3 linked regions of the Arabidopsis thaliana genome follow. The protein of the gene in region 3 interacts with the protein of the main gene of each other region in a pairwise test. Each region holds a gene or a part of one and is shown on either strand. Other genes may lie near its edges. The genes, in order: AT2G44360, AT1G60670 and RL3.

Region 1 (9,991 bases), on a different chromosome or scaffold from region 3:
TGCTGAACCAAAGCGGAGATATTATTGGTGATTGAATGAACGAATGATCAATTTAATGAAAACGCTTGTGATTGTTTTTCACTTTTTTTTTTTTCCTTTTCGTGTGAGTTATTTAATTTGTAAGTGTTATTCATATACTTTTCTATTTTAATTGCTATACAAATGTATGGTATAATAACAAGCTGAGTGGTTATATACTGGCCTATTTAACCATTTACATATGTAAGGAACAGTGATGATCAACAATATGGATGGCTGAAAAACTTTGTTATGTGCTATGCAATTTCTAACGTGAGATGTCGATCCAACACTTTCCACTCTACGACTTTTTCGCAATGCTATGGAAATAATATACAAATTTTCATTGAATCGTGCATATAATGTTGTGATTTGTCCTTACTCTTCATTGCTTCTCTTTACCATACTTTCATTGCATTATTGGTTATTCCTTAATCCGTAGCATCTCTTCTATCTTTTTTTTTTTTTGGATTTATACTAATTCCTGCTAATGTTATTATTAAAAATGTCTCCGAAAATATGTAGTAGCGGATCCGGGTGGCACGGAAATTGTTAAAGAAAGTTGGTGGTGAGGGTGAGATTGGTGGGTGACTCGAGAAAGCATGTTGGCACAAACCGTGTGAAGATCGATTCCGAAATCTCCACAGTAAACGAATCCATCACCGTCTTTCCCGCAAGCGTCGCAGCGGAATCGCCCTTCTTGGTATTTGGGAGAAGGGATTAGATAGAGATGGTTAGGGTGTCTGATTTTTTGAGGTAACTCGGAACATTTTCTGTGGATGTAGAATTTGCAAGGTTTGCATGAGTATGAAGGAAGATTTAGGAGTTTTAGCTTGCAAACCACAAAACAAAAAGATGAAAAAGATTGGTCTTCAGGATTGACAGATAAGTGGAACAAAATATGAGGATGACTGAAATGTCGAATTGAGTCCTCCGGTTTTGGCCTTCCCATTGTGTTGTTTTTGTTTTTGCTGCACAAATTACTGGTTCATTAGAGAGATTTTGCAAGTTCTAAAATGCTATTTGTAATTTGGTATATGTGAATATAAATTAATGGCTTGGATTGATTTGTTGGCAGACTTTGTTTTGTGGTAGTCATTTATTCTACCGTGTGAATGTTAACAGTGGGATCTACATTTTCAGTCGACGACTTCGAAAGTCAATGGTTATATTCTTTGATCAAGTCCTTATCCACTTGAATTATATATGGGAAGCTCAATTATTGATGAATTCTAGTTTTGTCACTATTTCCTAACAATCACCAAAATTGGAGATTTTTAAATCTTATCTCTGGTGATTGTTTCGTACGTGTCCAAGATTATGCAACTCTAATGTCAACCGTCTTCCATATATTAAACTACAACTTGGTGAATAATCAAAACCAAACTGAGAATTGTTTAGCGGAAAATGGAAATGACAAATCATCCACATATTTTGCTATATATATTTTCTAAACGTTTCTTACACTGAAACAACCAATCCTATACACAATGGCTTCAAGAAAACCTGTTAATCGCCCATCCGTGAGGCACGCGAGTCACAACCATCCGCTGCGTGTCTTTAAAGCTCGAGACGAAGATGAGGTCGTTTGCTCTGGATGCGAGCTCGAGCTAACCGGACAAGCTTTCAAGTGTATGAAGTCAGATTGTGATTACTTCTTGCACAAGTCATGTTTCGACCTACCTCGTGAAACCAATCACAAGTCTCACCCAAACCACTCTTTGACCCTGCTTCATTCCCCACCGTACGGTCAGTCTTACACATGCGACGCATGCGGTGAGTACGGATCTGGTTTCACTTACAATTGTTCTGAATGTCAATATGATGTTCATGTCGGATGTGCTTTTATCCCTGAGACCGTGGAGCGCGAAGATCACGAACACCCACTCACGCTTCTCTACAACACACCATGCAAAGGTCGTGAGGACGGTGCTAAGTTCATATGTGATGTTTGTGAAGAAAAAATGTCGGAAAATCTTTGGGTTTATTACTGCAAAGAGTGTGATTATGGGACGCATGTGCATTCTTGCGCGGTCTATGAAGATCATGAGTCAGAGAAAAGAGGAGGAGGTAGGGAAGAAGGAGAAGCGAGCTCTGCGGTTTCAAGGATGAAATCGTTGATGAAGGCTCAAGATGAGATGGCGGCGTTACAGCTCGAGGCACGTATTAGAAACGACACTAATAATGCTATACTCGATTTATGGGATAGTCCAAAGCGGAGATATTATTATTGATCGAATAAACGAGTGATCAATTTGATACAATGATTTTATTTTATTTTGAATAATAATAATGAAGCTTGTGATTGTTCTTTCTTTTGAAAATTTTGTTTTCTCGTGTGATATGTTGTAAGTATTTTTCTCAACTATCCAAGTCAATCTCTGTACCCTAATATAGAAGTTAATTATAGATGACGTTATATACATTTTCCACATAATAAAATCGTAATTTCGAGTTTGTTTCTTTAGATTACTTGAAGACAATATTATGCATTAACTAGAGACCCAGCGTAATTGACCTCATATCCTTCATTATGTCAACTCTATTGTTCATATATATGATAATTCAAAAGTTTATAATACTATTTAATTACAATTAGCTATTGAATCAGTTTATAATTTATAGGTTACAATAAAACTAGACGGCGTGATGGATGGGATCATGAAGAATAATTCCACCACTTGACTTTGAATTCCAAATGAGAATCAATCTTGTATATATCTCACCATCATCAAAGCGCGTACTGACATTTTTGTCCCAATATAGTTAGTATATAAGCTACACAACTTGGTAAAATAGTCAAACCAAAACACATCACTACTTCACCCTAAAGAAGACTCATTATCAAAAGTCGTCTTACTATTTTTACTATAAATATATACTCTCAAATCCCTTAGCTTAATAAGAATCACGAAAACAATAACAAACACACAAAAAGAAGAAGAAAGAAGAAGAAGATATTAGCCATCATGGCCGCAAGAAAACCGTCGGTGAGGCATCCGAGCCACAACCATCCATTGCGCAGTCACAAGGCCCAAGTTGAAGAAGAGATCATTTGCTCTGGTTGCGACCTCGACCTGATAGGTGCAGCTTTCAAATGCACAAAGTCAGAATGCGATTACTTCTTGCACAAGTCATGTTTTGAGCTTCCACGTGAGACTCGTCACAAGGCTCACCCGGATCACCCTTTGATACTGCTGTATTCCCCACCTTACGAGTCAACTTACACGTGTGATGCGTGCGGTGAGTATGGATCCGGATTCACTTACAACTGCTCTATCTGCCAGTACGATGTTCATGTTGGATGTGTGTCCATGCCTGAGTCCGTGGAGCGTGAAGGACACGCACATCCACTCACATTGCTCTACCGTTCTCCTTACCAGAACGGTTTGATCTTTAACTGTGATGTTTGCCAAGAGACTGTTCCAGATAATCTCTGGTCGTATTATTGCAAGGAATGTGATTATGGCACGCATTTACATTCTTGCGCGGTAGAGGAAGAAGAAGCAGAAGAAGAAGAGCCAAAAAGAGGAGGAGGAAGTGCAAGAGGAAACACAAAGAGTGGTGGGAATAAAGGAGGAAGGGGCTCAGCGGCATCGGAGTTAGCTGCAATGTTGGAAGCTCAAAGAGAGATGGAGAAGATGCAGATAGAGTTACATATGGAGATGCAAAGAGCTAAGATTGCTAAGAAAGCGAGAAAGGCTTGTCTCAAGTTGATCTAAAAACTTGTTTACGTTTCTATCAAGTTATCTCGGATTCTTAATGCTTTGAAACTCTTTTGTTGTTTGGACGTTCTTTTTTCATTGAATTGTTGTTGCAAGCTTTCATGTTTGTTAATTATTTTCCTTTTGAATAAAAAGCCTTTTGACTTTATTTGTTCTAATCATTACATAAAGTTGAAAATTACCACTAATCGATGATAAACATTGACCTTCAGAAACCCAAACAGAACCAAAAAAAGATTTGTATCATTATTTAATTGTTGATCCGCCGAATAGCAAAAAGTCAAAAACCACGTCAGAGATACAAAACAAACAATTAAAAAAACACTATCGCGTGAGATTCACACGCGCCGCTTCGTTGATTCGTCGTCTGTTTACCCAAACTAGTAGTATCAGATTTAAATCACACGATCACACGAAGGAATCATCATCATCATCAGAAATTCAGAATTCAGGAGCAGTAATTAAAATTGATTATTTTGATTATAAAATAACTCAAGAGAGATCACAGAGAGATATGGCGGAGGGTAAACCCGACGAGCAGCTCTTTCAGCTTCTTTCGGGTCTTCTTCAACAGGTTTCGCTTTTCTTTTTAATTCGTTAACGATCTGTTGAAATTCGTTTCCTCTTGATTTTGATTTTCGTTTCAATTACGAGCCGCTTCTATTCGTCAAATTTCCCTTTTTCTGTCTAATTCGTCAAAAAAATAAAAGGGCAAGAGCTTTTTGATATTGTTGTTAATGGACACTAATTGTTACTACAACATTGACAAATACAGATGATTTTGTTGCCTACTGATGATTTTTGTTTCTTAGGTAGAATCATTGACAAATACAGAAGAGGTTGAGCTACGTTCTAAGATTGAAGCTCTTGGTTTAGAAGTCACTAAAGTGCCATCAAAGTCTGCTCAACACCTCAATGAGGTCTGTATCCTGTGTTCACTCATATATCTGGTACACATTGTAATGTAAATCTGAGGCTTTGTGTGTGATTGTTTGTGTTTTCAGGTGGAGATAGCTAAGGAATTGGACAAGTTATCAGCAAAGTTAGATGATGTGGATGAGATGATATCATCAGCTATAGCTTCTGATCCACAGGTTCAGACGCTTCTTAGCGGCACAGCTGATGTTTGGATGCCGGTTATCACTGCCGGCGCCGAAGAGAGACTCAACTTCACAGCCTCTCTTGCTGATGATGATGACCTTTCTAACAAGGAGACTACTACCGACAATACCAGCAGCTCTTAATCCCATTTTCTTTTTGATAAACTCATGTCGAAGTTTTCTATTTTGCAGTCTTGTTTCTTTTATGTATATCAAAACCAAGATAAGCTTTAATTCATGAGTGATATTGATGTTTGATTTTTACGCAAACTGAATACAACTGTTTATTTATTATCACGAGTTTCCCGGAAATGCAAATTTGCACCAAGCATGTGTTTCTCAGGAACAATTTCTACATGAACAAATGTTTCTTCTGTCAATAGAAGGTAAAAACAAAAAAAGCTATCCAGTGTGGAAGAGAATGACTTTTGTTGAAACACGAGAGAGTGCGACAACTCAGGACTCGGTGGTGACTTAAGCAGATGAAGCTTTCTTACAATGGGCTTCAAGCCAGTCCATGGTAACACTCTTTGGCCTCTCAAGTGCAAGTCCAAGAGCTCGGTCCCATATAAGCTGTGAATTAAACACAAATGAGAATGGAGAGCATATGAGTTCTGTTTTAAATGTTATGTAGTAACAAAGGCGTAATGTGTAAATATATATATGTTACCTGAGAGCAGATGCCAAGACTCCTTGAAACACCAAAGAGCACGGTGTAGTACCTATAAAACGCACAGATATTATATTTGAGTGCTATCCTAAGGCTCAATGATACTTGAAGGAGGTGTCTACTTCTTACCTTGCTTCGGTTAGACCATAGTGGTTCAGCAAGACCCCACTGTGAGCATCAACATTTGGCCACGGGTTCTTCACCTGTAACAAGCCATCATCGGATTCGCAAGTAAATAAAAAATTGATTCGCAAGAGATTCATAAGCCCCTAGCATGTAGGTAAGGTGTTGTGGAGTTGTTGGTGGAATATTGAAGGATCACCATGGTAAACGAAGGATAGAGATACTACCTTTCCAAGCTCAGTGAGAACAGGAGGCACAACTTCATAAAGCTTTGACACCTACAGAGTTGGAAGGATTTTGTTAGCTACTGAACATTGATAGAATTTTGAGAACCGAACAGAAAAGAGAAAAGAGAAAGAAAAAAAGTACCAGCTGGAAAAGAGGGTCGTCAGGTAGATGCTTCAAGGCAAATTCTCTTTGGCATACATATCTTGGATCAGTATTGCGCAGAACACCGTGACCATATCCCGGAATAACCTAGAGACAAAACAAGACTCGTCAATAGATCATCATTAGACTATCCTTGTAACATTACATCCACAAGGTAAACTAGGATAGGGAAAAACAGGATCCAAAGCTCTTATGGCAGTATTACTTACTAGGAGCAGTTAGAGCAACTGACCAAACTATGAGGTCGTAAATAAGAGGACCCATAACAGTATCACACAATAAATTGAAATATTAGCCTATTATGATGACTAGTAGACAAGATGTTAATTCATTTTCGCATGCTCCATCAGTCTTGTTGGCTGGCTTCAAAAGTGGGATTCAGGTACAAGACCAGAAAGTAAAGAATGTCAAGGCAGAGGAATTTCCTGTTTTTACCTTGCCACTGTTTAATGTTTTCCAAACATATTCTTTCAACTGTTCTTTTGATATATCTTCTCCACATTCCTCTACGACTGATTTGATCCAAAGCAAAACTTCCTGTTGAAACAATAATAAAAAAAGACTAAGAATTTGTTTTCTCCAATTTATGGTTGTATCATCAAACTATCACAACCTACCTAGATAAAATACAAAAAGCCACTTACGAAGCTCTATTGTAGATTGAAGATTTAAGACTTATTCAAGATATAGACAAGGGAGGATACCTGATTAGCCAAACCATGGAGTGGCCCAGCTAAACCATTTAATGCAGCTGCAAATGACAGATATGGGTCTGAAAGTGCACTACCAACCTACATGAACAAGAATTTTTAGCAAAAGAACCATTAGAAACTTCAGGTAGGTCAATCCTTTAAAATTGACACATGGAGAGTATATACATACCAGGTGACCAGTGTGAGCACTAACATTTCCACCTTCATGATCACTAGAGCAAAAAATAGTAGAAAAGCAAAATGTTATACAAAGGTCTATTTAAAGTCTTAAAAAGAACAAACAAATTTACAAGATAATTAAGCTTATTTAAGGAGACATGCATGGGTGACGAAAATTAATACAGACCTGTGGATGGTGATGTAAAGCCTCATGAGCTCTTTCACCTTTTCATCATCAAATCCCAACATGTGGGAAAAATTTGCACCATAATCCAAAGATTTATCTGAGGGAATGGAATCACCATTCTTATACATCCTGCAATGATGCATGGAAAAGGTCAACAGTCAATACAAAGCAAAAACAAGAGATGGCAAATTTTCCAATAAAAAAAAAATCATTGCCGAAAATCCAGAAGCTACAAGAAACATGAAAAAGAGTACAAAAAGAGTCTTCACTAACCTTCGATAAACATATGCAGCTACAACAGGAACACGAGCAATCAGGTTGAGGCAATCCTCATATGTTGGCTCCCAGAACCTGGAAGAAAAAATCTTTGTTATGATGCCAGCTAATATGAAACGCTATCATGAACTAAATCAGAACCCCAAAAGCATACTTTGACTTATGAATTCCATTCTCATATGCCTTTTGAAACTCACTTTGCACCTGGATATTAGGTAAAGAAAATTATCATTCTGCTGAAAATTGTTTACTTATAGCCAAAAAAAACAATAAGTTTCCAACGCTTATCACAAGAAGAACAGAAACAACAATACGAGTTTAGAGAACCACACCTGGAGGGCCATAACACCGCTAGCAAATTGAGTCATTGGATGAGCTGTGGAAGGCAGAGCATCGATGGCATTGTACACATAATCTGTATAAAAATTGGATACAAGTTAAGAATGAATGAAAGTATAACACAAAACCCACAAATTTATTTCATTTCTGTTAAGCAATTTCTTGTAAGCATTGATGTCAAACAAGTTTGAATGAGCCAATAAACAGACTCCTTTATTTGCAACAGCCAGAGCGAAAAAGGTAATATCCAAACCTGGCACAGCAGCACGGTTCGCCAAGTCTTTCGACAGTGCTTCAACTTGCTCTTTGCTAGGTACCTATACGAAAAAGGGTAAAAAAGGATATCATAAGATAATCTATTGAGGAAAACTAATCGACTGGACATATCCAGAACCAACTTATAATAATGTACAGAAGAGCCACACCTTTCCAGTTAAGAGAAGCCACAAAAGACCCTCCGGTAATGGTTCAGCTCCAGACTGGGCAGTAGGTAATACTTTCTGGCACTCAGGAATCGACAATCCCCTAAAGCGAATACCCTGAAATAATGATAAGATAATTGCATCAACAGCCTTAGAACAGGAAGGAGGAGCATTTGATATATTCTATATCTAGGATCTAACCAAGCTATTGTAACTATATACAGAGAGTTATACAGTACCTCTTCCGGGTCAAGCAATGAGGTTTCCCAAAGCAATCCAGTCATCCCTCTCATTCCACCAATAACCTTTATTTCAAAGGGGATTATGATGAGTTATGCAATGGAAGGTGAAAATCATATAAACAAACCAAAAACGTGAAAATCATGATTGTTTCTACCATATCAACAGTGATGTTTCCCAGTTGGACCTTCCCATGTTCTGACTTCAGTTTCTTCAGACGGTCCTGAAATTGGAAAATTCTTGTGAGAAAAGAGGAAACTAGAAAAGCAAAGAGATTCACTACAACTAGCCTGCCTTCTTAACTTAACAATCTCAGCTAACATAACAAATAATACACACATTCAATGAAAAAAAAAAGTCAACAACACAAATTTTCATTTAAAGCAAACAGAGTCTAATCTAACCTGCTGTTCCGGAATTAACTCTTGCAGCTGCGACTTCAGGTCCTGCATTGCCACCATTTAAACAAAATGAACAAAGACCCCACAAGCAGCAGATCCCAAACCAATATTAAACTTACATATGATCATGATCATGAAAACTACATGATCACGATCACACACGAAAGTACGAAGCAACGGAGATGATTTACCAGGTCGGTAGAGCTCTGCATCTGAATCCATCTGACAGAATTGCTGAGTGAAGATTGTTGGCCCTGCTTACATAGATTCGATCACCAATCAATCGATTAGCATGAACCAGCGAGATCAAACGAGAACAAACACAAAACTGGAAACAAAATTTTCAAATACTTACGACGCGAGACCTCAGCCTAGTAAAGGCCGATACGCTGCGGAAAAACACCATTCTCCAAAACTCAAAACCTGTGACAGACAGTATCCACCCAATTCTCAAAACAAATCGATCCGTGAAAAAACTCAAGCAATCAACACTCACCAAAATCAGAAACAAACAAAAAAAGTTTTATCGCCGAATCAAATAATTCAACAAAACTCAGAGATTCGATCAGCGGAATTCACCGGCGAATTCAGATTCCAGAAGAAGAGAAAAACAGGACTAGATTCTCCGAAAATTATGGAAGACCAAAAGGAAATGAGAAACACTATGAAGAAGCGAAGAAACATACCAGAGATTCGAGAGCTTCACGGAGATCGAGAAAAAAAAAAGCGATTGTTGAAAAAAATACTAAAAGCTGCGTCTGCGTGTGATGTACAAAATCAATCGGCGAAAGGTGAGCAAATGACATTTGTATATAGCTGGAGCAGGTTTATTACTAAATTCCAATTTTGACCTTCGAGTACTTTGAGAAGGCAAACCAAACTAAACCGGTATTGGAGAAAATAACCTTTAGGCGTATTATTCCGGTTTTATGAATCTCAAAAACAATTTCGGTGTACCGGTGTGGTTATTTTCGGCAATTGTTGATAATCATCATTTATTTCCTTTGCCTTATTTACGGTATTGTTGATAATCATCATTTATTTTTGGTTTAAGAAATCATACTAATATTTATGTGAGCTTTTCAAGCAGCCGGAACGTTTCCAAATCTAGAAAAGTCAGGTTTGAAATTGTCCTTTACAATGTTTTCATCCAATATTATGCAACCAAAACCGATTTAGACTAAAACAAATAATCCCAATGCCTGAAAAAGTAGACTAATTAATAAGT
Region 2 (12,861 bases), on a different chromosome or scaffold from region 3:
TGACCTTTCCGCTTTTAGATGGTTAAATTTCGAAGAAATTGTCCAACAAATTTGAATTCGTTCTCTGTTGGGAAAACTTAGAGATGGGAATGATTGATCAATCATTATTGAAATTTTGAATGCTGTTAGGCTCTTAAGGATGGTGTGAGGGAGAAAGTGGAGCTTGCGACCAAATTTGGAATCAGTTATGCAGAGGGAAACAGAGAGATTAAGGGAGATCCTGCTTATGTTAGAGCTGCCTGTGAGGCTAGTTTAAAGAGACTAGATGTTACCTGCATTGATCTGTATTATCAGCATCGGATTGATACTCGTGTTCCTATTGAAATCACTGTAAGCATTTTTACTTTCAGATGAAAGGGAAGTTACATACTTTAGTACTTCAAGTGTGCTTGAGTTTATCTCAGTGAGCTTCACATCTTTGGCTTGGTATATGTTTGGTTTCTGCGTAGGTTTCTTTCAGAAAGTGCTAACTTATTCATATAGAACCAATTTCTGATGAAATGATATTTAGTATAAGCCATTTACTATTGTTTCCTCTCTCTGATGTGGGATGCTTACTTAGTTACTTTTCCTTCCAGTGTGGTTTTTTATCATCTCCCCTAATGATTTTTCATTTGACTAGACTCCTTAAGGGTTGGTTCTAAGCTCTCTAGTTCGCTTACACTTCCTGACCTTTATAGAAAGCTGGCACCTTTTGCTAAACTTAAACCATTTATTTTGATTGTCAATACCAAGATGGGAGAACTGAAGAAGCTAATTGAAGAGGGTAAAATAAAGTACATAGGTTTGTCTGAGGCCTCTGCCTCAACTATCAGAAGAGCGCATACTGTTCACCCAATCACCGCCGTGCAGTTAGAGTGGTCCTTGTGGACAAGAGACGTGGAAGAAGAAATTGTCCCAACCTGCAGGTATGCAGATTTCATCATCCTTTCATGATGCATAAATCCATCAATTATGTAACGTCTTGTCTTCCTTTCTTCAGGGAACTTGGAATTGGGATTGTTTCTTACAGTCCTCTAGGAAGAGGTTTCTTTGCATCAGGACCTAAGCTTGTTGAGAACCTAGACAATAATGACTTCAGAAAGGCAAGTGCAGAGGCTTTTTGGATGACTTGTTTGATTGATGAACCTTACATAACCTGTGGATAAATCAAATGATTTTATATATAAACTCAATTATTGCAGGCTCTACCAAGATTCCAACAGGAAAACTTGGATCACAACAAGATTCTCTATGAGAAAGTTTCTGCAATGTCTGAGAAGAAAGGGTGCACTCCCGCACAACTAGCCCTCGCTTGGGTTCACCACCAGGGAGATGATGTTTGTCCCATTCCAGGAACCACTAAGATTGAAAACCTCAACCAGAACATTAGAGCTTTATCAGTGAAACTCACTCCTGAAGAGATGTCTGAGCTTGAGACCATTGCCCAACCAGAGTCTGTGAAAGGAGAAAGATACATGGCCACAGTGCCAACCTTCAAAAACTCCGACACTCCACCATTGTCTTCTTGGAATGCTGTGTAAAACTGTCTGAGAGTTTCTCTGGCCAAAGGATGATTTATGTATAGAATATGTTATTTTCTTCTACCCATCTTATATATACGGTGACCATTCTCTGTATAGTCTTAGTGACCTATCGCCATCAGCATGAGTTAAGCGTCCCAGCTGACTTAGGTTTAGAGTTTAGGCACCTAATGGCTAATGCCAATGATGAGTCCTCCCATCATATTTGAACATTTTACCATTAGTTAGAGCCAATGATCTGGAACCTGCCTACAAGCTTCCAATGAGACAAACTATAGGTGACACAAATTGTAGATAGAAACATGAAGACCAAACACTACCTAATAAGACAAACCTTGCCTACTCAAGAAGATCGACATTACTCATTGACTCAAGACCATGAAAGAAAACAAATATCGATTACGTGAAGACTACTGAACACAAATTGATGACACATCTTTGAAGAAATATCACTTAAACACGTACGTAGTTTTTTGTTTTTGGTTAAATCTCATGTAAGAAAGATATTTTGTAAAAGCACTTTTGTAAAAGACATAGGCAATTTGAGAGTTTTTTTAATCACACCACTCATCAACCCAACTTCAACAACTACTCCACTCAGTTCTAAACTCTACAAAAGAGAGAAAGAGAGAAAGCGAGTTGTGACATAAAATCCATGGCTGAAGCTTGCAGAGTTAGGAGGATGAAGCTAGGAAGCCAAGGCCTTGAGGTATCTGCGCAAGGCCTTGGCTGCATGGCCCTCTCCGCTCGATACGGTGCTCCCAAGCCGGAAACTGACGCCATCGCTCTCCTCCACCATGCTATTAACTCCGGTGTTACTTTCTTTGACACCTCTGACATGTATGGTCCTGAAACCAACGAGTTGCTCCTCGGAAAGGTTCGAGTTTATCTTGTTTTGTTCGAAAGAGTGATCAAGATACTTTAGTTTGTTCTGTTTCTTGATTCTATGGTACTAACTTAGACCACAACAAGATTTTGTATGAGAAAGTTTGTTGCAATTCATTTTCTTGTCAGGCTCTGAAAGATGGGGTGAAGGAGAAAGTGGAGCTTGCGACCAAATTTGGATTCTTTATAGTAGAGGGGGAAATTTCTGAGGTAAGAGGAGATCCTGAGTATGTAAGGGCAGCGTGTGAGGCTAGTTTAAAGAGGCTAGATATTGCCTGCATTGATCTTTATTATCAGCATCGAATCGATACTCGTGTCCCTATCGAAATCACTGTAAGCCTCCTCCACAATCCTGCTTCATGTCATGGTTTCAATGTTTCCAAGTTGGCTCTGAAAATGATTCTTTGTCTCTGAATTCCAAGATGAGAGAACTGAAGAAGCTAGTTGAAGAGGGTAAGATAAAGTATATTGGTCTGTCAGAAGCTTCAGCTTCAACTATCAGAAGAGCACATGCTGTTCACCCGATAACTGCGGTGCAAATAGAATGGTCCTTATGGTCGAGAGACGCGGAAGAAGATATCATTCCTATCTGCAGGTGTGAAGAATCAAAATCAGATATAACTTTCCTCTTTGTTTACATGTTTGGTTAACATTTCGTTTATGCTTCACCAGGGAACTTGGGATTGGAATCGTAGCTTATAGCCCTCTAGGAAGAGGCTTCTTAGCAGCAGGACCCAAACTTGCTGAGAATCTGGAAAACGATGACTTCAGAAAGGCAACTACTGTTATTTGCATTAAAACACATGATTAATATACTGTACTAATTTGTGTTTCTTTATTGCAGACTCTACCAAGATTCCAACAAGAAAACGTAGACCACAACAAGATTCTCTTTGAGAAAGTTTCTGCAATGGCTGAGAAGAAAGGGTGCACTCCAGCACAACTAGCCTTAGCATGGGTTCATCACCAGGGAGATGATGTTTGCCCCATTCCAGGAACCACTAAGATTGAAAACCTCAACCAGAACATTAGAGCTTTGTCAGTAAAACTCACTCCTGAAGAAATATCTGAGCTCGACTCCCTTGCCAAACCAGAGTCTGTGAAAGGAGAAAGATACATGGCCTCAATGTCCACCTTCAAGAACTCCAACACTCCACCGTTGTCTTCCTGGAAAGCCACTTAAAACCGCATGAGAGTTTCTCTAGCTAAACCTACTAAAATTAATATGCTAAGGGCTTGTGTAAGCCCACAAAAATAATATGTAAGAGTTTGTGTTGATGTTCAGAGTGTTCAATGTATAATTTTCTATGCATTTCATATACTGCGACCAACCTCTAAATCTAAAACATCACCTTTTCAACCATTTAGAAAAATTTAATACATGGAAAAAGAGGAGCCATACCATATGGTAGCTGATTTGAAGATAAGATTTGAAGAATGAAAATGCCTCTGAAAACCAAACCTTACAAAGATGTGTTCTTGATACAAACTTTAAAGTAACTCTCATTTAAAACCTTACAGAAACAGCTAATCTATACAACCAACTTTTAACATGGATCTGTGCAACGAATTCATATCTTGGATTGACCGCCAAAGCATTTTGGCAACGGAAAAATAATCAGTTATGGAGACGTGAAAGGATTTGTAAAAGGGGTTTTTGGCTAGCCTGCGGTTCATTGTTAATATTAGCCGACAGCACAAAGGGTTCCACAAGATCCCATCTTCTTCAATCCTGTGTTTTGCAAGAGGTTTAGCAGTTGACAAAACCATCATCTTTCATGTGGGTCACGGTGAACAGCTGCCATTTACCAGAGGTTTCTTGTGCTAGTTCCTTTAGCATTGGTCAAAATCCAGTTTCCTCCCCCATCAGTTTCTTGGCTCCTGCTTCAGATAGATGCTCGAGGGAATGGTATAAGATCTCGGCTGAGAGACAGACAGATAAAAAATTATATTTTACCATCAAACATTGTGTTTCCATCATTCACCAGATTTAAAGCAATGTTCTTGTACAAGATCATAGTTCCCTAAAATACTAGAAGCCGATTTTTAGGGGTTATGGAAGTCCTATGATTTGAAGCGATTAGACATTTTTTCATGAAACAGAGGCAAATTTGGTAAGGGAAGCATTTGAGGTTTTTAATCCCTTACATATTCAGGAATATCCACGTTCAGAGAAAATGCAAGATTGCTTACCTGTGTGGCACTTGTCACTAAACTGCTTGCAAGATCATTGTTAATTGAGACAGGCAGAGGCGGCATCCGGCTGATGATCCCAGGCATCTCCTTCATGCTGCAGTAATAATAAGTAAAGAGTATAGTAAATCAAGCTTTCATAGACGAGAAGGTGAAGGACAACAGAGGAAATGTATCATTAGTGATTCAACCATGCTATTAGATCCACATACTCATTCAAGATGGCACTGATGTTATTTCTTGCCATATAAAACAGACTGACGTTATCCTGTGGCTGTATGCAGAAAATAGGATGTCAGGATGGGAATTCCATTACGAAAGGACAACAGCATGTATCCCAACCAAACAATAAGTTGCATTGAATAAAACATTGTGCATGTGAAAAATACATTCTACGATCTTTTTAAAGTCAATTTTCTGCTAATGCAATCTTTTTCTACCAGCTAGCATTTGGATCAGATACAAATCAATTACCTTGCACACAGAAAGGTTTGAGGAGATTTGACTGAAAGCTTGAGCATTCTGCCGTAGACGCTCCATAACCGCATCACTTAGACCTAGGAGAATAAAAGTTTGGAAAATATATATGAGACCGTAAAAATGTGACAGGTGAGAAAAAGGTATCAAGCTAACAAGATTGAGTTTTCTTGGCACAACTAAGGAGATGAGACAATAACTGAGAGAGTCCAGGAACTCTCCAACATCGATAATGCCTATATTCAGGCATGAACAAGATGAACAACAAATTGCCTAGTACATTTGATTGAGATTTCAAACAAGATGCAGTTTGTCTTTCTAAAATAATCTTTCTTTACAGTTACAACCTTTGCAGGAGAGGGAAGGAAATAATACCGACAATACTGTTACGGTGTTACCCAAATAGTACTAACCTTCAAAAGGCATGCGTGCACTCTGGCACATATGGTTCATGGCATATGTAGCATTTTGTTGTGGCTCAGTTGAGAACATGTTCAGTTTTGGGGGTAAATCCACTACCTAAATCAAGGAGAAATCAGTTACTTGTGTGTTGGGTATCTCAAGGAGAACAAATTTGTAGCTGTTTTGAACAAAAAACCATTTGTAGCCAATAACCTCTTGTAAAGCGAACTATAACCTAGGCCACCAACCGTTATCTGGTTATTTACTAACATTACATACCTTTCTATAACTAACCTTCGTGCCAGTACTATGTTCTTCCCCTTTTCTTCGCTTTTGCTGAAAAAAAGGATTTCAATCTTAGCCCAGACAAACTCAAAAGTCATGAATTTAAATAGTTGAAAGATATTAGATAGCAAACTGGCAGTTATTATTAATGTTAAAAAGGCCCCGTGTCAAGACTTATGTTTGTATGAGTCATATATCTGCTTGTACAACTCAAGTCATAAAAAATCTATCTATTTCTTCAGCCCAACTTCATAAAAAAAATATGACAGGATAGATAGTATGGATAAGCCAATAAGGTAATATTTGGCACTATAATCTGTCAACTTTTTTCCCCCATTTATTATATGAATCTTAACACTACAGTGTAGGCCATACTGCAGAGGATATAACCAATGTTTAACCATCGCTCATAGAAATCTTATCCTTCATAAAAAGTAACATATCAAAATAAACTTCAGAAAGTCGAAAAAAGCCCAAGGCTATCTGACATCACTCGTTTGGCGATATTAGTTTCAGGGTAACTACAGAAATCAAATCAAGCTTTAGGGTCAAATCAAGTTCCAACATGACTCCAGAGCTAACAGAAAGCCAGATCTATCGTCAGCAATACTTGTTATTACTCTCCTTGCACACTCTTAACCATACTTTAAACAACCTTTATGATATGGTAAGGTGTCTTTTCATCAATATAGCAATAGAACTTTAAGCCTACCTTATAGCCAAAAAAATATAAAAGAACTTTTCCCATAGGACTTTATCTTTAACAAAGCATACACCCAAAGTAGCGTCACTATGTTTTTCCTCCTTTTTTCATCTCCCAAGCTAAATGACGTTACCAAGATCTCTTTGAATAACAACTAATAAGAAGTCTGCAAGCCACTTATGAAACTTAATGACAATGCATTGGGAACTTACCGTCATCCATTTACATCTCATTGCTACATCCCGTACACTTTTATCTGGTAGAGTTGCTGCGATCTTTACATACTTTGTAACTTGTGGTTCATCTTTAAATCTACAAAAGACATGACAAAGGTTTTAGGCAAACAAAACAATAAAAGACAAACTCGAAACAACATAAAACAGCGCAAGGTAAGAAACTAACACAGAGAAAAACTCAGCCATCTTTCGTAGAAATTTTCTGATACAAAATACATCTATAAGAATCTGAATCAGCTTATGATTCCAGATAACAACACGAGCTATAACAGTTCATATGAAACATAAATGCAAAACCTTTTCCTTCATCTACATATAAAAATTTATCTACTCTAACATTGTATAATAGCTACGAAGTGAGAAAATTTGCAGAGAACGAAGAACAATGGAGAATAACAAAAATACTTACTTTGAAAGACCTTTCTCCAATATATATTGTTCCTCAACAGACCAATCAACAGCCAAAGAAGCTTCATGTTTGAGTCCAGTAACCGAAGTCGGAGAATTTACAGTAAGATGAAATCCAGAAGAAGCATTCATGCTCGAAGTCGCCGAAAACACTAAACCGGTCGTGCTAGTACTCGGTACGCAATAATTATCCATCGGAATCATCACTCAAAAGCTATTTCGTAGAGATTAAGTTGACCTACAACGAAGCACGCCCAAAAACATGTTCAATTTAGGGTTTTAGCAATTTCAGAATCATACGGAAAAAAATCCGATTAAAACCCAACAGAAACCTAAAAGAGCAAAACCTGAGCAAAACCCACCTCGGATTTAGCCAAAATAGAAGATGAGTATGCTTCTCCGTAGCTCGATAGATGGCGTCGATGCAAAAACCCTAAACCCCCAACGATTGGTGATGAAAGTAGAGATACTGAAATCGTGAAGCTACAAAATTCAGAGAGATCGCAATAGAGAAGAAGAAGATTGAAGAATCGTGATTCGATTCGCGAGAGAGTGGTGACAGCAAGATGATGCGAAGAACTTTCGAATTGCAGAAGCTGGCGAGGAGAGAGAGAGAGAAAATGGTGGTTTTGTTTTGTAATGGTTTTTATTCTATTAAGAAACAGAACCACTTTTTATTCCATTGTGGTGGTTTTGCTTTTTTGTTTTTGTCTAGTCCACTCTTTGAAGAAAGATGGTTTGTTCCTCCTTATTTTTTTAAACTTTTACTCAATTTTTGTGAATTACACAGTCACCTACACTTTGGAAATTCAGATATTTAAATTACAACAAGGTATTATAAATCATAAAGTTTGGTATCCATTTCACTAAGTGACATTTGTTTTTTTTGTTTTTTTTTACATGTCTTATGTGAGTTATGAATAATTAAATTTGTTTCAAACTTTTACATGTGTAATTTTATGATAAATCTTTTATTTACTTATATACCTAAATAATCAAGTTGAATTTGTGCATAGACAAAAATGAGACATCAAATTAGTTAATCGATAATAGTAGGATTCGCCGGGGAGAAGGAGAAAAAAAATTAGATGCATGGGTCTCAGGTTCGAGTAATAACCAAAATAACTACAACTTCATTTTTGCATAGACGTGGAGATGCTTTTTGGTTAGAAACCTCGACAACCACTAACGAAGATGAGGACAATGAAAACGTTGTGTTTTGACTTTTATGCCCCTCTAAACCCTAAATTCAATAATTTGGGTCGTCACTCGTCAGCAAGCTGGATCTAATCCACCACTCTCTCCAATTGTCATTCACTCCGGTTTTGCTATTTCCAAGGAGAGAAAGATGATAGCTGTGATCGGATTGCTTCTGGGTTTTCTAGTATCAGCATTGTTCTTAATCCAAGGAAAGCGAAGAAGAACAAACGACAATCAAGAGAAGAAGAGATCTAGCAGTGAGCCTGTAGAAGATGTGGTAAGACCAAAAAGTTACAGCAAGAGTGAAGTCGCAGTACATAACAAAAGGAACGATTGTTGGATCATAATCAAAGATAAAGTCTATGATATTACTTCTTATGTTGAAGAACATCCTGGTGGTGACGCTATTCTTGATCATGCTGGTGATGATTCTACTGATGGCTTCTTCGGACCTCAACACGCCACTCGTGTTTTCGACATGATTGAAGATTTCTACATCGGGGAACTTCATTAGTAAAAGCTTAAAGATTTGAGATTTGATTGAAGATTTGAGATTTCTTCTTAAGTAAGCTTAAAGATGGCTTTTTTAATTCTCTTCTCATTGAAGATTTGAGATTGCATTACCTTTTTGTCTTGCTAGTGTAACACTTCTTCTTCCATTGTATTGCCAAAGTTTCCTCCTTTCTCTTAATTTTCATGGTGAAGCTATGCTCTGTTTCAAGTGTTCTATGCTTAACTCTGTCTCAAGTGTTTTAAATCCATCAATTTTGAGTTTAATCTATTGAATTGCTTTATGGGAATCAATAGGATCATAAGAACATAACTTTTTTACTGCGATGAAGAATCATAATATTCGACAAAAAAGCATAACAGAGATCTCGAGTTCGAGTTCTATCTCTGATATAGACCTAAATCCCAAAGCATAAGCATTGACATCTGGTTAACCAAAACAAACTACCAACGTTCATATGATGAAGGTCTGCCTCCAGGACGGCTAGGACGGTCATAAGGACCTGGTCTGCTTCTGTAGGGTCTTCCCTCATCGCGTATCGGTCCCATATCTCCATATCTGTCACTTGTATCCCTTGCGTATCTGTCCCTGTCATAGCTTCTCTCTCTCCCGCGATATTCATTCTCAAGATGATGTTCAGGCATCCCATACCTATCACTCACAAAACGGTCTCCTGGTGGTGCGTATCTACATTGTTAATACATCAAAAGGTCATGACTTTCCTAAAAGAACACATGTTGGAACATTTATTTAGACCTGAGGACAAGAGCTACAAACCTCTCAAATGGATAGTGATCACGAGGCTCATACTTGTCTCCACTGTCGAAGCGGTCCCTGTAGCTATATCGTCCCCCATCTCGGTCACGGCGTCCATCCATGTAGCGGTCAAACTCACGCTCCCGCTCCCGCTCCCTCTCCAGATCACGATCTCCATAGCGATCTCGGTGTCCATCTATGTCTCCAATACGAGAGCGCATCGCAAGGGGAACTCTGAACCGTTCTCGATCGTCACCAGTTGATGGGCAATCTCGAGCCCAATGACCAGGGCGTCTGCATTTAAAGCACTCATCCTCGGTTCCCTTCCCTCGAGATGAATAGCCTCCACCTTTCTTTAATTGGTCTACATCTTCTCCACCAACTTTGGGCTCAGCTTTGTTCACGGAGATGACCTTATTGCCCAACTCCCTTCCATGCATGTGCTTAATTGCATCATCAGCTCCTCTGCGATCAGTGAATGTAATAAACCCAAAACCACGTGGACGCCCAGTATCTCTCCCCACCATAATCTACAAGTACGCAAAGAAGACCAATAATGTTATTAAAATGCATATTGAGCCAGGAACAAGATATATTACTAAGAACCAGATGTTACATTAGAGTTAAGAAATAAGCAGATGTATTACATTCCTATCTCTCATATAGCATGTCCTAGAAGTGGCAAACTCAGAACATTTACAAGCAAACAGAAGACGGTAGCAAGATTCACAAATTTACTTCATTTCAAGTCCTTAGAATCACACAACACAAAGTCAAACTACAGCTGCATACTTGTAGAAATACTAATCCACAAGAAGTATCACCACAACAATAATCCTAGCAAAACGATGTTGGAGATTAGCCTCTAGCCAACCATACTTTTAACCCTTACAACAGACCTGTTACCTCAAATCAGTTTCCCACAACAAATCCACAGGAATGCGTTTTCCATGCTAATTCCACTAAAAAAGAAGACTAATATTCTGATCAAGACCTAAAAAAGAAGACTAATATTCTGATCAAGACCATTTTTGACCAGAAACTTATCATCTTGGTGTATTGATAGACTACTTAGAGATGCTTACATGTGCCAATAACTGTACTTTTACAATTACAACAACTAGTGGCTCATGATGAATGAGTACAAGAAAACCATCTCAGTGACTACTAAAGCAGATACCACAGGCAAGAGAATAAAAGATGGTTAGTCCTGATTGGTGTCAAAACCACTGAAAAGAGAGCTCAGCTGCAATTTAATCATAATATCCAACAAAACACAGTGACGTCAAACCAAAATTACTGCACTGATGCTGAGACAAGAGCCATGATCTATCTCAAAACTCTTGCATTTCTAAACATACGGCTCTCAAACAGATTTTCAGATCAAGAGGAGGTTGAGATGCATGTTTACTTCCTAAGAAAGCTCTACTAATTCCTCGACTGCATCCTTCAACAAGTCAATAAACCTCAATATCTGTGTGTGCTCTTCTACAGAATAGATGAGTCTTAGGTTCATCAAACAAAACTATCCTACAATCTCAGAGGTATCATTCACTAAACACAGGTTTCAAAACGAGTCTCTGAGACTTCTGATCATAAAGTACGAGAATCGATACAAGACCTGACACTCAGTGATTTTCCCGTAGCGGTCAAAGGTACTCTCAAGCTGTCTCTCTGTGACATCCCACGATAACCCTCCCACGAAGATTCTGCTCTCAAGATTTCCATCGTTTTCTCTATCTTTCATTGTGAAACTCTCACTGAAACCAAAAACGCATAAACATAGTTAGCCCACAAAATCAAACTCGAAAAATCAAAGCGAAACTCCAACTCTTACTTAAACAACTCAAAAAAATTCTATTGAAACAAAGATTCGGGTCAATAAACTTGCTGAAATCCGAAGTAAGAAAAAGAAACCCTAGAAATTTCGATATGATAAACCCTAATTACTCACCGCTAATCCAAAGGTCAGACCTTTCTGCGGTTTTGGCGATTGGTGATGGACAATGAAATAACTGCAGAGGATTAACTTCAACTCAATAAGTATATTTATTGGGATAAAATGTTGTCCACTCAATGACTAAAACACCCTTATAAAAGTTACTTAATTTACAAAAATAACCTAAAAACCCTAAAACCCTTCTCTTTAGCAAAGCTTTCCCCTTTTCAGTCTCCAAGCTCTCTTCTGCGGAACTCACGGTACGAAAGTCTCCTCTTTTCTATTTACTTTAATCCGAAGTTTGCTCCTTTACTTTTGATTTGTTGGAGAATTTCGAATTCTAAATTTGGGTTTTGTCTCTGTAGAGTAAACACGAAGTAAAAATGATAAAGAGACGATTTTACAAGCTTGAGCATGGTGATAAAGACAGTGGATCCGATTCATCGTGCTTCTCTTCTGACTCTGATCCTGAGACGGAAGAATCAGAACAATCTGAAGAAGAAGACTCTGTTGCAGAAGTTTCCGAGGACGGTGATGATTCAGGAGATGATGAATCCCCAGGTTTGCTTCTTCAATTGAGCAATTATCTCTTTTAGTTCTCTTGTGATTGTACTCTCAGAGAACCTTTGGTAAAATCTTTGCTTATTCTCTGTTATAGCTGCTGGCGAAGACGCTGATGTTGATGATGGTGATGATAACTCTGATGCTGATGACTATGGTGGGACATTGGAGAAGATGTCAATGAATCGTTTTTTAGAAGAACCACCCGAAGAAGAGGAAGAGAACTATATTCTCGGTTGTATGATACAATCCAAATCGGTTTATAAATGCAGATATTGTCCAACCGTTGTTTGCTTGAATGAGAACACAATGCAAGCACATGTTTCATCAAAGGTAAATTAGGTAGCTTTGAATTAGCATTTGAGTGTTTGGTCCTTTTTGGAATCAAGTAGTAGATGATAAGCACGGGATTAGTTTTGAGCTTTTCCTCATCAGTCTTGTAGTTGATGAGATAGTATTTTTTGTCGTTTGACTCATTTCAGAAGCATGCTCGTATGGAGAAATTAGTGAAAGAAGGAAAGATTAGAACTGATGACGAAGAAGTTGACGATCTAGAGACAGCATCTCAGGTTACATTAGAGAATTTGCCAACGAGTGCTTTTTGTTTTGTCAATGAGTCCTAACCAAATTCTTGCACAAATCTTAAATGTAGGAGAAGGAGAAAAAAGGAAACAGAAGATCACAAAGACAGGGAAAGAGATCTCAAAAACAGGAAAAGGTAAATGTAGCTTGCTCAATACTGAAGCATTGTGACCATGGTTGGTTTGTTGGAAACCTAATTG
Region 3 (10,497 bases):
CTCTAGTAGAAAGAAACTAATCAACAATGCAACATGTTATGTCGCGTTTTTTTTGGTGTTAAAGTTTTCTGTTGTGCCCAACAATTTCACTTAAAAAGTTTATATTCAAACAGACATTTCTGGAAAAAATAAACATGTATAGAAGAGAGAGTGTAGTAGTCACATCACACGCCATTAGCTAGAGAGAGGGACGGAATACTTTCTTTTCTTGTGACCACATCCTTCGCAAACGCAAATTATCAACAATGTATAAAGACTTGTTCGTCTCCATTTGTTGACTGGTCCATCTTTTATTCTTCTTTCACTCGCTAAAAAATCTAATAGAGTATCTTTTCTAAAAGAAGCCAAAGAATGGGAGAAGATTTCTTAATGATGATATTATAGAAGAAATATTCAAGCATGGAAAGTTCAAAAGAGTGTTATCTGGCTTTATCTAGATCTAAATTAGATAATAGTGCTACTATTGACGACACACTTGATGTAAAATATTGTTAGTTGTTGGTAGTAGATATCATGGGTTAAAGATTTAATTTGATTTTTGTTTCTTAAGTGTGTTTTAAAAAATAGCATGGGTGTTTTTGTTTTCTTTTTTTGAAATGGAAAATGATAAAGGTGTGTCGTAATATGGACACAACATCAATGTCCATATGTGAAGCCCAAGATGACTCGTCATTGGCCAAATTAATCAGAAAACGAGTCAAATGGTTTTGTTGTGATGTGAACTGTTTTAGGGTTATAAACTCCTTCATTGGCCAAATCAAATAAAAGCTTCAAGCTTGATTGTGATGTAAACTGCTTGAGGGTTTAATTAGGCTTACTGACCAAATCACTAAATTATTTAAGTTTTAGGTAAATTTTTGTTGTCATTTTGTTATTGGCCAAATGAATAGGTACCTACTCATTGACAAGTGAAAGCTACTCTCAGTCTCACAACAAGTACACTTCTTGATTAATTGTGAATGACTTTAGATAATACATCAACATAATTTTTTGATGTTTTTCACCCACATGATAATCAAAATTGAAAATTTTCCAAGTTTTGGTAAGGCACGCGTTTAGAGTAGGTGGTAGACCTGTTTAGATTCAGTAGATGTATAGGTTAGATGAAAGTACATCTTACGCTAAACCTGTTTGTTAGATGCCTTTTATAGTTTTATAGAACAATATTAAGCATCTTCTTATTTTTATACTATATGATAACGTAGTACTAAAAACCATAACGTAACTACCTGTATATTATCAAGAAAAAGGCACATTTAAGGGGGAAAATAGTTCTTTTTAAACTAGTGGCAGCTACAAGGCCCATGACAAGTTAATGATCAATGGATCTCAAGCCCACTAATAGTATTAGATTAATAGATAATTAATGGACCGTATGAAATTTCTTAATTGCCAAGTTGATGAAACAGCTATAAATAGAAAATTCGATGATTTGGTGATTTTTTTTAAAATATAACAAACAGATTGATTAATAGAAAATTGTGTGGTTTTATGTATAATAATACTTTTCACAATCTTTTCTTTTCTTCATATAAACAAAACAGTCAAAAGAAGAATTTATGAAATTGTTAACAAATTTATAGCCATGGCCGGAAAGTTGGATTGAGCCCAAAATTTTGATTAGTCTTCGATGCAAATGTAATCACCAAGAGATATTTTCTTAGGAATTATGTTAGCTCTTTTCCAATCTTATAACATCATGTAGTGTTTTTTGGTTATCCCTATTCGGATAGTTCGAGATATTTTTCTTTGGTCAACTTTTTTTTTTCTCAAACTTTCATCCGCATTAAACTTTTTGTAACGCACATATTCACTTACGTCATCCCAATCGAATTTTCAATATTATACATGGAAGCAAAATTTAAGTGAATAAGTTTGATTATTACGATTAACGCAGTCATATCATCCTAAACGAATTTACAATATTATACATGGAAACAAAATTTATTAAGTGAATAGTTTGATTATTACGATTAACGCAGTCATATCATCCTACTTTTCAACTCTAATCGTATATATATACGATTACTACATTTCCGTTACGTAAAAAGAAAAAAAATTAACAAAAAAAGTAACACGAAAATAAAATTATTACATGTATCCAGATTTTTTTCGTGTATTCAAAAATGATTTGGCGGCTTTTACTTTTTACTTACAATATTGCAGCCAAAATAGTCGTCTCCGGACAATTACGTGCAGTGTCAGGAGGCAAAATGAATTATTTTTGTAATACTACATTGTATTTTATCCCCAAAAACAGAAGTTAAGGTTCTGATGTTTATGATGACATCAAAATACGTGGATTCGGGAACATATATGGTAATTAAACAATGGAAATTTCATTTGCATGCATTTAATTTGTGCCCCCATAATAACGCCACCATGAGATTTCTTTATATTTAACCTCGAAAAGAAGTAATTAAGAGCATCTTCGAAACGTCAAATGAGGTCCACTTCAAAAGGATCAGGTAAGATCGGAATCTAATCAAATAAAGAAGAAAAGAGAATTTGTCCCCCCTATGGACTGAGACAACAACAATATTATTAGTCCCGTCATTAGATAGGGAGGTAGTACTATTAGTCCATACTGTAATATATATACAGTATTAGGAACCCCACATTATACGTAAAAAATATCCGCAAATGCATTGTTAATTGAGTACGTTGAACATTGACATATAGGTTAAATGGGTATAGGGTAAAACCCCATATATGGCCTGTTCAAATAATGAAATCGTTATCAAAATCACTGGAAAAAGCAAGTTTTTCGTTCTTAAGAAATCATAATAAACCTAACTGATCAAACCCAACGTAATCTCAACGTATTTTGGGTACAAATTTGCTATAAGAAATCACATGACTAGCCAAAAGCGGACATAGAAACAACTTATTCATACAAAACTTGGAAGCAGGAATAGTTTAGACGTTCGTAATGGAAGAGTAATGAATGTGAGTGCTTAGCATAAGCAATGAAGGCGTAGACGTGAAGTTACGGATCCAAATGGAAGAGTCCAAAGAAATATTCCAAGAAGGCAAGTTGTTGAGTGGGAAGATGAAGTTGAAAGGAGATGAGTATCTGCCAAAAGAATGTTTTATCACAAAGCTTAGAATAGAGACCAAAAGGGTACTACGAGAGCTGATATTTTTAAACTTTTTGGAGAAGAAATACAGTCCATATCTTCATCTTTTTGTTATTTTATATCTTATAATAATAAGTACAATAAAACATAGCGAGTGGAGAGGGATCAGAGTAGTTAAACAATTAATGTCCAAAACAAAGGAGCAGAAGAAGCGTAGGAAAGGCGCAGATGTCGTCGATAAAATTCATCTACGAGATCTTCCCAAGATTTGGAATTTGTCCACTTGTATTGCCACTCAATGTTAAATAAGAGAGAAATATAAACAAGAACACCTGAATATCCTCGAAAAGGTGCTGTTTTTTTTCTTTTCTTTTTTTCGTTTGTGTCATGCATTACTAAACCAAAGCTAAATATGCATCTCGTATATGAACAAACTAAACACACACACAAAAAAAAAAAAAAAAAAAACACTTTGTTGGAGTGTCTTTGTAAAAGTACTTAATTTATATCTTACGCTTGTGTATATCTTTAGAATTACTATCATTAAAATATCTTTTAAGGGTTATACACAAAAATAATTCTGTTAAGTTTTAATAAAGTTGCAAACAAATAATATGACAAGTATTGACAATTTTTCGTACAGAACTGTTTCAACTCATTCTCCGGATTTTATGTATATAAAATTAATTTTTAATTAAGCATTAGAAAACATTTTGAAATAGAACAATTTCTAGAATTTTATCTCCATGCTTTACAGTTTTATATCCACGTTAATTTTTTTTATGCATGCGCCAAACGGAGTACATCTTTAAAAAGGAGTGGTATGCAACAAAAGTAGCTGCTCAAGTTTACTATAAGGTTTAAATCAGCCAATCTTCTTAGCCCATTTTAAGAAAAGAATGACAAAGCAAATATTCCTATACCTATAAAAGATAAATATTGACTAATTTGATGACGAATTAATCAATAATACTATAACCTAACAAGGTTCGGTTCTTATCATCTTATGGTTGCCAAAGAATGTTTTTGTGATCACGGTCCAGAGGATTACATGTTTAGGGGCTAATCTTTCATTATTAATTAAGCCAAATCACTTCTTAGTACTACTCTGATATTTGTCTTCTCATTGGAAGGAATATAATTTAAAGCTAAAGAGCATCAAGCCATGTAAAGAGTTTGATGATATTCACTAATAAGGGTTGCATGCACGAGTTTCTGTTCTTATCAACAGATGCTCAACACGAGCCAAATGTATAAAAGAGATCACTCAGATAATTCTATTACCAAATTTGCTATAAGAGCCATGAGACAAGAATGGCAAGAATCGACGAAGTGGGATTGTGTTTTATTTTTATGACATTACCAAATGACTTCGACTATATATGGCATCTACGAAAAGACATATCATCACTAACCTATCCATCATAAACAGATATTTGATATTTCCAATCAAAATGGATGGAGATCAAAAGAAGCATCAAACATAATCTAACAATGTCATGTGTTTATAATAAGCATCCGATACTACGGTCTAGTGATGACTAGATCTATACAAGAGCCTTAAAGAGGTAAGGGAAGGTCCACAAACATGCATGGGTTACTGACTTAGTCGTTTACTGTACGGAAATATAGTAGCAATTAATACAAAAGAAAAACGGGGAAGAAAACATCTTATATTTCTCTATTGCAAGGTCAAGGAATCTCAAGTTTCATTGGATTGTTTCACAATTGTGTGTACCTTCTCTAAGACTTTATGTGGTTGCTAAAAGAAATAGTCACTCTCTTAAAGTATATATTCTTCCAACTGGCTTAACCCCACACCATGCTTTTTCCTCCTACTTATAAGGAGCTTCTCCTTCTCTTAGCTAACCAAATCAACTCCTTTTTTATCAAGTCATAGATACATCTTCCTTCTTATTTTTTTCTCCCTCCCAAGAAGCAGATCTTGTACTCTCGATATACATACTTATTTTATATGGCTTCCAACTCAATGAGCTCTAGCGCTTCTTGGACACGTAAGGAGAACAAATTATTTGAAAGGGCGTTGGCTACATATGACCAGGACACTCCTGACCGTTGGCATAACGTTGCAAGAGCCGTTGGCGGCAAATCAGCTGAAGAAGTAAGGCGACACTACGAGCCTCCTCATTAGGGATGTCAATGACATTGAGTCAGGGCGTTATCCACATCCCAATTACCGTTCAAATGGAAACAACCACTGAAAGCATTAAAGGAACTCCAAAAGGTAAACAGAATATCACAACAATTATCCATAAGAAAGCATTCATAAATAATAGACATGCACTCTCCAGTTTCTTATGCGTGTCTTCTTGTTTCACCAGGCCAGAGAAAAAAAAAATCTAGCTTTATGATATAGTAAACACCACCGTTTCCCATATCTATGAACTGTCCCAACTTCTAACTGTGGGGCCAAAAGCAATCTAGTAACAGAGAATTCAAAAGTTAGTTTTGTCAAGTTCTTGAAATTGATCATTAGCCCATTAGCTCTATATATATATATAAAAAGTCATAGACGCAAAAAGCCATTTCCTGGTGAAAAGATGAAAAGCTTCCATCCATCTTTTTATATGTCTTTTAGCAAACAAAAATCAAAGTCCCACATAGTGATAGGCTGATAGCATGTTCCATGTTTCTTGTCTTTACCATTGCAAAAACTACTCCACTTACATAGATAGTATTTTGCCCCCAAAAAACAAAAACATAAATAGTATAACGTAACCCCCTTCTCTACTAACTTTTGGTTAGCCTATAGTTAAAGTTCAGAATTATTAAAATTGCTAAATTTGTGTAACAAGATTATCTAGCTGATTTCTTCATTTTGATATCTACATCTTTTTAGTCTTTTGAAGTAGTTAACTCATCTGGATTTTATGTCTTGCAGGCTCTACTGAAGTGGACATGGTTCCAAAACCATTCACAAAGCACATCTAAGCAAAGATATCTAAATGTATTTACTTGTTTTTGTGTTACGAATATGTAAGAATTATCTAAATCAATCAATGTGGTTTCATATAGTATAAAGTATTAACAATCGGACAAACTATAGTTCTCCTTGAATTCCATCCATACACAAATCTTTACAAATCGATCTAAGTCTAACAAACAAGATCGATAGGCCAAATATCAAAACTCCTGAAAAAACGATTCAGAACATGTTTTGATTCACTTTTGCACTCATCTCGTCGTTTTGGCGCGTAGCCTGATGAGAATCTCCATGAACATTGTAATTTGAGGAAATTTGATACGGTTTCGCAGAAAAATCAAGAGATCATCAAATAAAAGTAATAGAGTAGAAAATTGTGTATTTACTTACGGATAAATCAATACTGGATCGTTTAGTTCTCGTCAGATACCTCATATACACGCGTCTGTGTTTGGGGGGAAACTTTTTGCATGGGATGTAATTTGAATACAAACGGGCTAAAATCGACGGTGGTCATAACTATTGTCCCCGAAAATGTAGCGTTCTTATTTTGTTTTGTTTTTTTAACTTTCGTTGTCATATAAATATCATAGCTTTATTTATGGTTTTCGTTTATAATATTTGCGTTGATGAAAATTAAAACAACTACTATAACTAAGGAGAGTACATGCACTCATGCATGCATGCAAACACGGCATATCGTAAAATTGTAAATAAGCAAATTCATTTATCGTGTGTTTTTAAAACAAACAAAAAATGTTATTTTTATAAGATAAAACACTATTTTACAAGATATTATAATATTTTTATTTTTAAGTGATAAAGAGTAACAGAAACGATAGATTACCTATTACAATTTTTCTTAATACTAAATTTGAAAGTCAAGATGAGAGGTCCCTATTGAGCTATAAACTTTTTGTCAATTTGATTCATCTCGAGTATTATTCGTTTTGTGCAAAAAAATAATAAAAAAATACATTACATATACCTTTCTAAAAGAAAAGAAGAGCTCAAGAGGGGTATATATATTCTGTAATATGTTAGAGCACATGCCTTGTATACCGAAAAATTGCGACCCATATATGAACCATGACGGATAATTGGATTTATACAGTCCATATTAATAATTACAATTCGAATTCGTTTAAGAAAAAGAAAAGACAAACTATTATCTGTTTTTTTCTGAAAAAGAGAGACATTATTCTGTAATATTTTAAAGCACAAGTCTCGTATATATTCCTGGCACAAAATAGCGACCCATAGTCCCATACTAACAACAATGAAGAACTAAATAAATAAAAATTTGAAAACTAAAAAACCGTAAATGTCTTTCAGTTATTTATAGAAAATACTGCGTTCAAAATCGTTGCAAGTAGAACTAGACAAGAACTAACGTTTTTTTCAAAAAAAAGCATTAAACAAAAGATAATTTTACAGTCAAAGTGATTAAAGTTGTGGATTTTTTTATACGGTGCATGCATAACCATTTATTTCAACTTCGAACTTCATCTTTCAACTAAATGGATGAAATTACAATTATATAAAAAAAAAAATGTTTAGTTTAAAATTATGTAGTATAATTAAGTGGATTAGATTTGTACTTAAAAATATGACAAAAATAGTAGAATATAGCCGATATTTTAAACTTATAAAAATTTCAAGTACGTACGTTCGAATAATCCTTATATCCATAATCCACTAGCTCAAATGGTGTGTTTTTGTTTGATATTCCTGCGAGAATATACTAATCAGTATTTGGTCGTTTTAATAATTTGAATGTGGATTGTGGAATAATTTCTTCTAACTATATTAATTATCTGAAGAACAATTATCTTACGTACCCGTGATCTACACAAACGGAATCTTATAAATATATATCTTTCGTCGCTGAGTGGAGGAGAACAAAACTTAGCAAACTTCAAACATTTTTTTAAAAACCAAAATTTTACACTAATGGTTTAGTCGTGGTTCGAGTTAAGAAAAAAAAGAATCTGTTTAGAACATGGCCCAATAATAGTTCCTATGAAAATATGCTTTTTGATTATTCTCCAAGCAATAATAAGCCCAATTATATTTAGGCCCAGATCTGCTTTTTGATTATTCTCCAAGCAAAGTAAACTTATACGGTCGAGATTTTATTATCATTTTATTTTTTGTCCTTTTGAAAAATACCGTTTAAACCCTAAAAGCTAGCTGCCACCGTGGGTTTATGGTCGGCAAAACCCAGAAATCGACCATCATTCACCGTCAATTTCCCAACTTTCATGAACCTTTAGCTCTATTTCTCAATCTCTGAATAAGGGTCAATCTTTTCTTTTTATCAAAATCGATGGCTGCTTCTAGATTGTGTTCCGCGGCGGCGATAGCTGCTGCGTTCACTTCAATGTCAATGTCTCAGAACCGTGCTTACGCCGATTCTTCTCGATTCCGGTTTCCTTTCTTTTCTTCTTCTCCTTCTCCTCCTCCGTCAGATTCTCCGGCGAATCAATCTTCATCGAAGTCTAAAGCAGAGCCTGATGAGCCTAAAGGATCGGGTTTTGATCCTGAGGCTCTTGAGAGAGCTGCTAAAGCTCTTAGAGATATCAATAGCTCTCCCCATTCCAAGCAGGTGACCCTTCATATCTATTTAGGGAATGAAATTAGGATTTAGCAAAAATGGTATGAAAAAATTGGATTTTGATCTGTGGAGATTGGTCTTTTGGTGATTGCAGAATTGGGGTTTCTTCTTAGCTTATTGGGTTCTTGGTTTTTCAATTAGGTGTTTGATCTCATGAGGAAGCAGGAGAAAACTCGGTTAGCTGAATTAACGGCAGAGACTTCTCATTACGAAGCTATTCAAGCACACAATGATATTGTGAGTAAACTTGAATTTTCCATTTTTTCTGCCATTTTTTTTTATCTGATTCTTGACATGATTGCAAAGTAATATGATTTGTTTTATGGGGCATTTGAAATGGGCAGGGCAGACAGCAGAAATTGGCTGAGGACCAGAGAAATCTTTTGCAGACACAGGCGCAAACCAAAGCGCAAAATCTGCGATATGAGGATGAATTGGCCAGAAAGAGACAGCAGGTTATTCTTTTTTTCTTATGTGTTCTCGTAGATGGATTAATCTTTCTGAAGTATAAAAATCTTACAAATGATTTTGGTTTGGGAGTAATGTAGACAGATCATGAAGCTCAGAGGCATCATAATGTGGAATTGGTTAAGATGCAAGAGGCGTCTTCTATCAGGAAAGAGAAGGCAAAAATCGCCACAGAAGAACAGATCCAAGCTCAGCATCGCCAAACTGAGAAAGAGAGAGCTGAACTTGAGCGAGAGACGATTCGTGTCAAGGCCATGGCTGAAGCTGAAGGTCGGGCTCATGAAGCCAAACTTACTGAAGAGCAAAACAGAAGATTGCTTATGGAAAGGATTAATGGTGAAAGAGAGAAGTGGCTTGCTGCAATCAACACAATGTTCAGTCACATCGAAGGTATGGAAACTGATAAATCAAGAAAAATATATCTTTTTGCTTTTGATTTTGAATAAGGAAAGATCAGTTCTTTTTGTTCCTTTTGCTTACTTCTATATGAAATTGGCAGGGGGATTCAGGACCTTATTAACTGATCGAAATAAGCTGATTATGACTGTTGGAGGAGCTACTGCATTAGCTGCAGGGGTTTATACAACTCGGTATGCATCTCCGAACCAAATAAGCTATTGGATATTATGGGATTCTCTGAACCAGTCTGATTTGACTCAAGTGATCTTAGATTCTTTTATCATTTTCTAATGTAATCTATTTCATGAATCTTTTTGTGTTTGACAGTGAAGGAGCTAGAGTTACATGGGGTTATATTAATAGGATGCTTGGACAACCGTCACTTATTCGAGAATCTTCCATGCGTAGATTTCCATGGACAGGCTCAGTGTCTCAATTTAAGAACAGGATCTCAGGGGCTGCAGCAGCTTCTGCAGCAGAAGGCAAAAAGCCGCTTGATAATGTAATTCTCCATACTTCTTTGAAGAAACGAATCGAGCGTCTCGCTAGAGCTACAGCAAACACCAAATCCCATCAAGCACCATTCCGCAACATGATGTTTTATGGACCTCCTGGTACCGGTAAAACTATGGTGGCAAGGGAAATAGCTCGGAAATCGGTGAGTTATTATCAAAACTATGGTAGTAGCTTTGTTAGTACCGTCTTCATGAGTTCTTAGATACAATTATTTGTTGCAGGGTCTGGATTATGCTATGATGACAGGAGGTGATGTTGCTCCCTTGGGATCACAAGCTGTTACTAAAATCCATCAGATATTTGATTGGGCTAAGAAATCGAACAAAGGCTTACTTCTTTTCATTGATGAAGCCGATGCTTTTCTATGCGAGTAAGATCTCCTTCTCTTCTTTACAAGGATTAGTGGATGTTTTAGCGTTTTAGGTTTTTGACAGTAATATGACAAAAAGATTGCAACTTTTTCTCTTGGTTTC

The links.
Region 1: the proteins of RL3 (region 3) and AT2G44360 interact in a two-hybrid assay, tested with the Arabidopsis thaliana proteins (one large-scale study listed by BioGRID).
Region 2: the proteins of RL3 (region 3) and AT1G60670 interact in a two-hybrid assay, tested with the Arabidopsis thaliana proteins (one large-scale study listed by BioGRID).

Annotation. Positions count from the first base shown.
Region 1 is NC_003071.7:18,315,851-18,325,841, reverse strand, and holds AT2G44360 (ecotropic viral integration site protein), read left to right. Parts: upstream 1-4,145; 5' UTR 4,146-4,257; coding exon 4,258-4,317; intron 4,318-4,555; coding exon 4,556-4,663; intron 4,664-4,747; coding exon 4,748-4,987; 3' UTR 4,988-5,110; downstream 5,111-9,991. Other genes in the region: AT2G44390 (Cysteine/Histidine-rich C1 domain family protein), read left to right, coding at 1-31; AT2G44380 (Cysteine/Histidine-rich C1 domain family protein), read left to right, coding at 1,509-2,252; AT2G44370 (Cysteine/Histidine-rich C1 domain family protein), read left to right, coding at 2,988-3,740; ATCS (Citrate synthase family protein), read right to left, coding at 5,318-5,416, 5,514-5,565, 5,643-5,716, 5,864-5,914, 6,006-6,113, 6,462-6,563, 6,731-6,817, 6,909-6,951 and 11 more.
Region 2 is NC_003070.9:22,338,554-22,351,414, reverse strand, and holds AT1G60670 (hypothetical protein (DUF3755)), read right to left. Parts: upstream 7,831-12,861; 5' UTR 7,475-7,830; intron 7,351-7,474; 5' UTR 7,317-7,350; coding exon 7,114-7,316; intron 6,781-7,113; coding exon 6,681-6,780; intron 5,817-6,680; coding exon 5,760-5,816; intron 5,598-5,759; coding exon 5,492-5,597; intron 5,159-5,491; coding exon 5,076-5,158; intron 4,876-5,075; coding exon 4,814-4,875; coding exon of another isoform or gene 4,780-4,813; intron 4,699-4,779; coding exon 4,602-4,698; coding exon of another isoform or gene 4,545-4,601; exon of another isoform or gene 4,369-4,544; intron 4,332-4,368; coding exon 4,275-4,331; 3' UTR 3,791-4,274; downstream 1-3,790. Other genes in the region: AT1G60690 (NAD(P)-linked oxidoreductase superfamily protein), read left to right, coding at 130-330, 736-908, 983-1,085, 1,185-1,523; AT1G60680 (NAD(P)-linked oxidoreductase superfamily protein), read left to right, coding at 2,179-2,400, 2,538-2,741, 2,831-3,003, 3,081-3,183, 3,253-3,591; CB5LP (cytochrome B5-like protein), read left to right, coding at 8,461-8,826; AtRZ-1b (RNA-binding (RRM/RBD/RNP motifs) family protein with retrovirus zinc finger-like domain-containing protein), read right to left, coding at 9,267-9,510, 9,601-10,109, 11,201-11,326; AT1G60640 (stress response protein), read left to right, coding at 11,902-12,079, 12,177-12,412, 12,562-12,648, 12,732-12,797.
Region 3 is NC_003075.7:17,249,605-17,260,101, forward strand, and holds RL3 (RAD-like 3), read left to right. Parts: upstream 1-4,685; 5' UTR 4,686-5,055; coding exon 5,056-5,232; 3' UTR 5,233-5,325; intron 5,326-5,982; 3' UTR 5,983-6,158; downstream 6,159-10,497. Other genes in the region: AT4G36560 (uncharacterized protein), read left to right, coding at 3,053-3,385; AT4G36580 (AAA-type ATPase family protein), read left to right, coding at 8,354-8,632, 8,783-8,878, 8,986-9,096, 9,190-9,499, 9,609-9,699, 9,836-10,166, 10,246-10,394. UniProt on the Arabidopsis thaliana protein: Probable transcription factor.